2 linked regions of the Drosophila melanogaster genome follow. The protein of the gene in region 1 interacts with the protein of each later gene in a pairwise test. Each region holds a gene or a part of one and is shown on either strand. Other genes may lie near its edges.

Evidence for each region.
Region 2: the proteins of Orct (region 1) and Idgf2 interact in a two-hybrid assay, tested with the Drosophila melanogaster proteins (one large-scale study listed by BioGRID).

Annotation. Positions count from the first base shown.
Region 1 is NT_033777.3:24,274,293-24,279,298, reverse strand, and holds Orct (organic cation transporter), read right to left. Parts: upstream 3,040-5,006; 5' UTR 2,355-3,039; coding exon 708-2,354; 3' UTR 507-707; downstream 1-506. Other genes in the region: Orct2 (organic cation transporter 2), read right to left, coding at 4,166-5,006. UniProt on the Drosophila melanogaster protein: Probably transports organic cations.
Region 2 is NT_033779.5:16,445,546-16,451,016, reverse strand, and holds Idgf2 (imaginal disc growth factor 2), read right to left. Parts: upstream 3,688-5,471; 5' UTR 3,621-3,687; coding exon 3,512-3,620; intron 2,704-3,511; exon of another isoform or gene 2,548-2,703; intron 2,188-2,547; exon of another isoform or gene 1,832-2,187; coding exon 1,274-1,831; intron 1,215-1,273; coding exon 559-1,214; 3' UTR 509-558; downstream 1-508. Other genes in the region: Idgf1 (imaginal disc growth factor 1), read right to left, coding at 4,298-4,956, 5,028-5,471. UniProt on the Drosophila melanogaster protein: Cooperates with insulin-like peptides to stimulate the proliferation, polarization and motility of imaginal disk cells.

The DNA of each region.
Region 1 (5,006 bases):
TCAAGTAATATAACATTTATGAAATGTTCTTTATTTCAAAGTTTTAGGGGTATAAAATTATCACATGGCTCATAAATATTGGAATATCCCATTTCCATATACAATATCAATATAAGGTCGTTGAACCATAAATCAGATAAACTTGATCAGTCCGTTAAATTGAACATACTTAAGGTTGGGAACATGTGAGTTTTGTGGATTTGATTTGATTTTCTTATCAATGGACAGCGTTGACAGTAATCAGTTTTATCACTCACAACCACTGATATGTGAACGCAACTTTATTAGCGCCATTAATGAGTAAAAAATTTGAATGTTCCTCTGGCGGGCAAGTGCATTAGGAGATTGCACTCAATGAGATTATAGCGTTCTCTTATCAGCCGACCATTTAGACCTAATTCTTTTAATGAGCAAATTTATATTATCGTCTCACCGACGGTGAACCGGCTCAATAAAAACAAAGTTGTCACAAAGTTCGTTGAACAGACGGCGACTTGTGTGCAAATACGATTTAAATATGCGTGACTTTTATTAAATCGCTTTTAAAATTAAACAAATAGAGCTGAGAAAATGGAATGAATTGTACAATATACATCGCTGGAGAAATGGAAGTGCGCTGAATGCTTAAATTCGTTGAAATGACCAATTGAGGCCATCAGTGTAGATTGAGTGATTAACTGCTCGTCGTCTCGCAATTCCGGCTCCAATTAGCCGGACTTTCCGTTCAGCATTCCGGACAGCTCCTGGGTGCCACCCTCCTCGGCGGTTTCTTGCGGCGCCGGCTTCTTGCCGAAGTTCTCCCCATCCTCGATGGTCTCCGGCATGGGTTTGTTAAGGGTCTCCGGCAAGAGCAGGGACAGCAGGCCAGCGGTGAGAGACAGTGCTCCGCAGATGATCAGCGGCAGCGGTCGCCAGATCTCGCCCAGCAGTTTTAGGTAGGGTGCCAGAATGCCACCCACGCGAGCCACCATGGAGGAGGCTCCCAGACCCACATTCCGCACCACAGTCGGGAACTGTTCCGCTGAGAATATGTAGATGGTTCCATACGACGAGGTAATAGCCAGCTTTCCTATCATGGCGCAGGCAACGATCAGCCAATTCATGTCGCTCGGCACGAAGATGGTGGCCAGCAGACTAATTCCGGCCACCATCATGGTACCGCACAGGATGGAGCGACGACCCCAACGGTTCAAAGTGAAGAGGAGCAGCGTATAGCCGGGAATTTCCACGGCACCAGAGATCATAAAGTTAACCAATTGGTTTCCACCCAGATTGTTGGTGTTCCACGACAGGCCGTAGTAAACGCCACTGTTCACAAACCAATCGAAGAAGATGAGCAGGGTTTTCCGTCGAAGATTCGGATAGCGCAGGAGATCGAACACAGTGGCCGCTGGTTGGGAGGCGGCCATCTCGTCCTGCTTCTTCTTTTCGGCCACCTCGTCCACCAGCTGCTCGTAGATTTCATTGGGCACCTCCACCTTGTTCTCCTTGGCCGCCTTCTCGATGATCACAAAGGCCTCATCCTTGCGACCCTTCATCAAGAGCCAACGGGCAGACTCCGGAATGATCCAGTAGTAGCAAAGGAAGAGCAGTCCCGGCAAGGTTATAGCAATCTGCAGCCAACGCCAGTCGTGGATGAAGTAGGCAAAGCCGGCCGTGAGCATAAAGCCCACGGAGAAGAACATCTGCATGGCCACGCCGGCAAAGAGGCGATACGAGGAGCCCACCATCTCCAGGGCGATGACATAGGCAACCAGGAAGACTCCCGAAGTGGTGGCGCCCACAATCATACGGGAAATCGTGTAGCTAAAGTATTCGGGTGCCACGGCAGCCAAAACGCCGAAGATTAGCTGAAGCACCAGTGAGGCGAAGAAGGTGGGCTTGCGTCCCAGCTTGTCGGACATCTGGCCAAAGATTAAGCTGCCCAGGAGCACGCCCAGCATGAATAACGAATCACTGGTGGCACTTAGCAGGCTTCGACTGCAGACCAGGTTCCACTCGGTCACCGCACTATTGAGATACTTGCTCCGATCGTAAACGTAGCTGGAACAGGTCTTGGTTTCGTTGCTGCTCCGTGGAATGCTGCCATTCAGGTACTCCTCCGTGTAATCCACATCGTAGTAGGAGCACCTTTCATTCTCCGGATACGATAGGTTCCACAGGTGGGGTGATAGTTCATAGATACTGCCATTTTCGTATGGCAGGGCACATCGGAAGTCGGGTTTGGCCAGCAGGAACACTCCGGCCAGCTTGTGGAAGGCGCAGACTATAGCCGGCAGGCAGAGAAGGTAGTAGATGCGCTTCTGATACGGACCGAATTCACCCAGGTGGGTGATGACGTCGTCGTAGCCCATTGGTGGAGCAGTGCCAGGTGTAACACCTGAGATTCGGCGTTGTCAACCGTCGAGTGTCGTACGATAACTGACTAGCAGCGGTTCAATGGTCGCGGCACCGTGACGTATGCGCAATATATTAACGCGTCTGGTTGCGTATACGCCCGATGAACCCGTTCGATTGTGCAACAATCTGGTTGAAAAACGGAACCAAGTTGCACCAGCACCAGCACCAGCAGTTGCTGCAGCAGCACTCTCCAGTACCGCAGTGAATCTCTGTCCAGCGAATCTCGGATTTTGGAGCGCGCGATCAACCGCTCGCCAGCTGCCTCAGTCTCAGACTGAAAACACAAAGAGCATCGAGGGTTCGTACGAACCCAGAACAGAACGTCCGCCTATCTGGCTGTGTCTGTGTGAGCGGTACGCGCCTATCTATCTACCAGTGTGTGTGTGGTGTGTAGAGCGTTCAACCCCGTAGCCAATCTATTGATCAGCGATCCGCATTAGGAAACTCTAAATAGAATCAATAACTTCCCATATCAGAATGGGGATGAAATCGGGGTGCCGGGCAGGCGGAGAAGTGGCAGCTGCCGCACTGATTTGGACATCGTATGATGTCAATTAGAGCCCGCAGGAACATCTTCTGACCAAAGAAAGTGTCCACCGATTGTGGTTCGATTCCAAATTTCAGCGTATCTGAGTTTATCTCATTTTAAACTAATAAATGAAAATTAATATGAATAAATGCTGTACATTTTGAAAATATTTGAATTCGATTTGAATAATTTAACTGGCGAAGTATACATATCCCAATATTGCGACCACGACTGTATGTTGATAAGTATTATATATGAGCTCCCCATATATGTACGTTTGCCTTCTGCTTATAGATAATACTAACTAACATACTCTTCCAAAAATTGCTCTTTCATTCAGACCGATTTCTCTTTAAAAAAAAAACGTATACTTCCGTTTCTTATCTGAAACATCGGCTGGTTTGTTTAAATATTAATTGAAAAGTGCAGAGAACATGTGGCAGTTCACTTGGTAAATGGTGCACTACAAATAGACGACACACTTTTCGAGCAGCCACGTAGGAAAAGATCAAGGTCAAAGTGCTCGCGAGATGTGAATAATGCAACATTATGCCCAAGAGCCCAAGAATCGTACGATTATGATTCGCATTCCAAGGCATATGAGTTCTTTCTGCAGCCAAAAATGATTGTTATAACTAAGTAGTATAACAAATCACTTGTTAATCTCGTGATTTATAGTACGGGTCCACATTTCAAATGAGAGTCTCGTGTTTTTGGGGCTGATAAGAGGCGACTACGAAAATAAACACAGCGGAAACACGTTTCAAAAATCCTAATGGAATGGCCAGACATTCTGTCCGGGTTTACGAGGGGTCAACGAGGAGGAGGGGTAAAGTTATTTAATCTCTGGAAAAGTACGTTTATTTCAAAATCATCTAAAGTTAAATAGGTATAGAAATAAATTATGCTGCAACACGGTATATTTTCCAGCTGATTTTCCTGGGAAAAACCTCCCCTAATCTTCGGAATTCGTAACCCTCTTTATAAGACCGCTCCTCACTGCCCGGCTAAATGCTAAAAGAGTTATGATCTATTTGTTGCTACCCATTGCTTTTCAATCTTAATTTTTTTTGCATGGTCTTTTTTTTTTTTTGGTTACGTGTGAGATTTCAAAATTTGTATATAATACTTGGTCTATGTTTTAAAGGTAAATGCCCTGCCTTTGGCGTGACCGAATTCTAGATGCCCTGTCTGTAATTTCTTGAAACTTTAAAGTTCAACACCAGCGTCTAACTATTACTTGTGGCCATTGGCTATGGTTGATCCATTTGTCTCGCCTGATCCCTTGAGTGGCTGCGCCTCTGGTGCTCTCAGTTCTTGGCCCGTTTCCAGGTAGACATCTGCCTTGGTCTTCTTGCCAAAGCGCTCGCCATCCGCGATGGTCTCCAGCATGGGCTTATTGTGCGTCTCCGGCAGCAGGAGGGAGAGCAATCCGGCTACCAAGGTCAGGGATCCGCAGATGAGCAACGGCAGTGGCTTCCAGATGGTGGCCAAGAAGTTGAGGAACGGTGCCATCATGCCACTGATCCGGGCCACCATAGAGGCGGCGCCCAGGGCCACATTTCTAACCACGGTTGGGAACTGCTCGGCGGAGAATATGTAAACGGTTCCATACGACGCCGTGATGGCCAGCTTGCCAAGCATGGCGCACGCGACTATGAGGGTGTGCATTCGCTGCGGAATGATGACCGTGGCCAGGAGACTGAGACCGGCCATCACCAGGCAGCCACACAGGATCGATCGCCGGCCCCAGCGGTTCAAGGTCAGCAGCAGGAATATATAGGCCGGGATCTCCACGGCTCCCGAGATGACGAAGTTCAGCAGCACATTGCCACCCAGGTTGCTGGTGTTCCATGAGAGACCATAATACACGCCGCTGGTCACCAGCCAGTCCAGGAAGATAAGCAGCGTCTTGCGCCGGAGATTGGGGTAGCAGAAGAGATCCCACACGGAGGGCGGTGGTCCCTCATCCAGCTCCTGATCCTCCAGCTTCTGCTTGGCCTTCTCCTCCGAGTTTTCTCCCTCATCGAGCAGCTCACTCAAAGCCTCATCGCTGATCTCCACCTTGTTGAATCGC
Region 2 (5,471 bases), on another chromosome or scaffold:
ACAGTGGAGCTTTTCAGTGGAATCACCTCCTCGCGTTTCCCCGTAGTGAAACGAAAACCCCAGACGAACAATAGCAAACGCAGTTTTGTGGGTATTATTATCAACGAAATTCAACCAATTCGTTTGTCTCAAGTGCCAACTGAGATCGGGTTCAATGAGATCACCTCTCAGCTCGGTAATTTACAGAACAGATTATACGTCTTTCTCGAGATTATGTCCATCGACTCATAGTTTAAATAGGCTAATTCCACGGGCATAGTGATAAGTCTGCACTTTATAAGGTGTTGACGAATTAGCAAGGTCGCTACTGTTCATTACTCATGCCCAAAAATGTGTAAATATTTAGCTTTTAAATGCTTAATGAAAATGGGTACATAGCGAATAAGTGCCAGATAAATAAAATGTATATACGAGCTCCTAAAAAATATTTTGATATAAAATGAAATCCATGAACTCGGCAGAGCTTAAACTTTTATAGAGATTACACAAAACAAATGTCATAGGTTTTGTTTATAATTGATAATTGTTTATTTAAAGTATTAAATGTTATGTTTCGTTTTATAGACGATATTTGATGGCTCGCAGAATGGGATACTTATCGCCTGAGCACTGTCCACGGAAATCATCGTAGCTCAGATCGAACAGCGCCACGCCCCCTAGGTTCTTGACACGGGCATAGGCTGCCTTATTGGAGGCGGAGTCGGGATCATCGTAGCTCACCCAAATGCCCTCGGTTATCTGACCATCCACTGGGCGATAAGCTATGCCTCCGAATCTCTTGGTGGGATCAGAAACTCTTCGCAGTGGCGATTCGTTGCCCTTGAGGAATTGATTTTGGGGATTGGACAACTTTCCGCAGATTTCAGCATAGCTTAGTAATCCAGGCTTTTGGGACTGGAAGCCCTCGGGTGCTGGTCCACTTGTCTCCGGCACAACAGGAACTCCTTCGAGACCCGAGTCCTTGGTAAGTTTCCATGCATTACCATAGGTGGCAACTCCCAAATTGATCTTATTGGATGGGAATCCCTGAGATAGCCAGTACTCCACCTGGAAATCAGCGTTAAGGTGTGCCAACCTATCCTTCGATCCATCGGGATGGTAGATGGGAGCACTGTAGTCCGCCTCCTCGGGATTACGGGCTGGTGTCAGGAAATCGAAGGTAGCCAGGTTCACAAAGTCCACCAGGCCATTCAGAGCGGGAATATCAAAGTACCCTAAAGTCATAATTAAACTAAAGTATAATTACATATTGTTATTATTTTGAAATACCTACATGTTGAGTTTACATTGGGCAGCACAGTCAGACTGAGCAGAAATCCATCAGCTCTCAAGGAGTCCTTTACATCCCTTACTAAAGCGGTAAACTGCTCCTTATGAAGGGCTGCGTGTGGATCCACTATGAAATCGCCGGTGAACAGCTTCTTAATACTCTTCCATGCCAGTCCAAGATCACCGTGAACCTTTCTTGGCTTATTCTTTGGGAACTGATAGGCCAGATCCAAGCCATCAAAGCCGTAGGTCTTAACCAAGTCATAGGCCGATCGGATGAAACCAATTTGACGAACCTTCTCGCCCTCCAGCAGATCGATATACTTGTTGGGATGATCAGGGTCGATGTCATGATCGCCGCCCACACTCAACAAAACTTTCAGGTGGGGATACTTCCTCTTGAGGGAGGTAACCTCGGAGAACTGATGCTTGTATATGTCCAGGTTCTCGTTCATACTGTACGCCTGTAGGTTTTCACCTCTCAGCCCAGCATAGCCGTAGACCAAGTGGCTGCAGAATTGCAAGGCGATCTCCAGATCGGGATTGAGCAGCTTGCCCAGACCTGGAAAAAACACAGTTTAAATTCAAAAGATGGCATATTTAGTATGCACGAAAAGTACAACGAGCTGCACTCGAATAACAAATAATCCCAGAGACTCGAAGTGGTCATTGCTGTGGGACACTATCTGCGCACAGTGATCCGACACCCAACACTCTCGCTCTCGGTGAAAACTACCGGAGAGCGGAGATCGGAGATCGGTGTATCTCCCCCTGACCAGAGCCACCTCCTCTCGGATGCTGATCCATTGTCTCGTCGACTTCAGTGGCTTAATTGAACGCCAACAGTGTGAGCCCAGCGAGCGGTTTATTATTGTTTGGCTCGGCTGCAGAGCACAGTGGGTTGAGTTGTGTTAAGAGCTTAATGTAAAATATAATCATTTGCATTTATATAAGAATATTTAATTAAACGTTATTTGAAAGCAGAATTTATAAATGAACTTTTCGGTTTGTACCTAAACATATTTCTGAACATACATTTGAGCTGCTAACAAATCAACTTCAGTCATTTTAACTTCTACCTGTTTTAAAAATTTTTACAAATTTAAATTTATTTAATTAATTATTAATTTTATTTATTTACCTATCGAATGCATCTATTGGACGATATTTATCTCATTTTTCCCCTATCCTAAGGACACTGTGCAGCGCTGCTGAGTCACTTGGTGCTCTGCTTGCCACTTGCTCGGATCGCTGGTGCCAAGTCAGCGTCCGCTGGCGGGGCAGTTGTCGTGCTGGACTCGCTGTGTGTTGAACGCTCTGGTTTTTCATTTCGAATGCGTGGGATCGGCTCAATAATATAGACTTAACTCGCCCTATACCAAAATAATCAACTAATTGCCATATTTTGAGAATTCATTCCATTATTTTTGTTTGGTAAGTTACACCCGCTCAAATTAGCTTGTTAATCCGATCAGAACTTCTGCTTTTTATCGCTTTGCGAGCGAAACTCTGCGGGAGAGCCAGTCTCTGTGTTTTATTTTTGAAAAAGAAATAAACTGGCCAGATAAGCCACTGACCTCTATAAAACTAGCTTTGGCTCTCTTTATCTCTCTGTTTCGCTCGCCAGGCGATAAGCACTGCAAGTTGAATTAAATTAAGTCCGAGTTTTGTTTTGAATCAGAAATGGTTATGTAACTCGATTAGGATGCTTTTGTTTTCATTCGTCTGTAAATTTGGCACACGCTACTCAAAAGACAGGCGGTATTTTGGTAGGCTTTTTGGATAACTTTGAATAAATGATTAATACTTTCAATTTTACTCCCATTCCTCATATTTTAGTTCATTTACTAAATGTGTCGTTCAGTTCAAACGTGGCTTAGTTGGTTAATAAGGTTTTACCAGAATTACTGTTTTTCAAAGCTTTTCAAAAGGCATTTTGGATGACAATCAAGTGTGTATATTCATAAAACCTAAGTTGGTCAGTTTTCATTCATTAAAAGAATTTAAAACAGATCAACAACATTTTAGTGAGTAATACTTATAATACTCTAGTGCTAAATGGAACCAGTTTGAACAACTAAATTGTTTTTACGTTGTAACTTTTTCTGTGTTTGATTGCTAGATAGAATATTTTACAACAAGTTAAAACCTCATCGATCTGTGATCTAAGTTTTCTAAAGCTATGTATATATTATTTGTCTGTCATATTCACTTTCTGGAGTATTCCGACCACCTCACTCACCTTCCCTGGTGTAACTCGAAGAGTCATAGTAGCAGACTAAGTTGGAGGCAGCTTCTGTACTTGCCGCAAAGAGGCACGCGACAAACGTAAACCAGATCCACGCCTTCATGGTGCCAGGGATATATCTCTATAGGCACAACCGCAGAGCAGATCAAATGAAATCGAACTGAGACTGAAATCGAAATGGAAAACGAAACCGAAACCAAAACCCCAGCCCCAAGCCGATGACAAAAAGCTTGAGCGGAGCTTTAAGAGGGGTCTGAAAGCCGATCTGAAGCCGAGCTCATTGCCTTACTTATTCTCGCAATGACTTAATTGTGTACACAGAAATTAATGACGACGATTGCGACGAGGCAGACGCAGGGTCAAAACGTTGTGACCTCTAAAATTAAAAAAAAAAAAACAAGCAAATAATCTGAAAACATTGAAACGCGCTTGCTGATTAGAATTCGAAAACAGTGTTTCTGATTGGTTTCGTAAGTGTACATATATAGAACTAAAAGCGGTGGAAATACCCGTCTATACCACATGATTTAGTTTATCACACGCACTATAGAATTCAGTTTTGTTTTGCAACTCGTATGTGTTTGAATATATTATTGTGGGTTTTTAGTAAATTACAAACCAATGATTTGTATTTTTGCCAAAAAGGTTTTTTCTCACTGAGACCGATTATTAAATAATGTGTTCAACCGCAAACATGCGCTTCAATATTTGTAATTCAAATGAAACATTTATTAGAAAACTTAAAATATATGGCTTTGTTAGGCTTAACAAACAAATCATTTATCCCATAAAGTACTTAATTGACCGCAGTATGGGGTACTTTTGGCCAGTGCAAAGTCCACGGAAGTCATCGTAACTTAAATCGAAAAGGGCAATTCCGCCGAGTCCTTTGCCCTTGGCATATACTGCCTTTATTCCAGCAAAATCCGGATCATCGAAGCTCAGCCATACGCCAAAATCTCCATTATCATCTGCTGGCCGGAGAGCGTAATTTCCGTATTTCTGGGTGAGATCCGTGACCTTGCGGAGCGGCGCCAATTCTCCTCTATATTGAGCGGATGCGTTCTGCGACAACTTCGAGCAAATCTCTGGCCAACTTAGTAAGCCCTCAGCACTCTGGATTTGTATTCCGCCGGGTGCAACTCCACATGTCTCATGAACAATGGGAGCACCACTGAGTCCAGATCCCTTCGATAATTTCCATGCTCTGCCATAACTGGCTATTCCCAGGTTCAATTTTTGGCCAGGACAATGATTCTGCAGCCAATAGTTAATCTGGAACTCCACATTCAAATGGGGCAAGCGATTCTGTTCGTCCTGGAAGAAAATCGGAGCTGTGAAGTCCGCCTCCTCGGGATTTCGTAGTGGGGTGAGAAAGTCGAAGGCCGCCAGGTTTATATAGTCGAACTGGGGATGCAGTTTGGGGACATCGAAGTACCCTAACGAAATGATTGATTAGGTGGTTAATAAAATAGTTCCTACTATATGTAAAAATAGGATATATACTTACAAGTGGAGTTCACATTGGGCAGGACTGTCAGAGACAGCATCAGATTAGCAGATCGAAAGGCATTCTTTATATTTCCAACGAGATCGGTGAATTGTGACTTGTGCTCCTCCGCCTGCGGGTCCACAACGAAGTCACCAGTGAAAAGCTTCTTGAACGACTTCCAGTAAGATCCAAGGGATCCATGGACTTTTCTGGGCTTATTACGGGGTAACTGGAACGCGAGATCAAGGCCATCGAATCCATTTCGCTTAAGCAAAATCATGCTGCTGTCTATAAAATTCTGCTGAGCCGTGCGATTCGCCTCCAGAAGCTCTACATATTTATTGGGGTGGGCCTCATCCACATCGCGATCTCCACCCACGCTGAGGAGAATCTTCAGTTGAGGAAACTTCTGTCGCAGGGCGGTGATGTCCTTGTAGTAGAACATGTCCAGGTCCACATTCA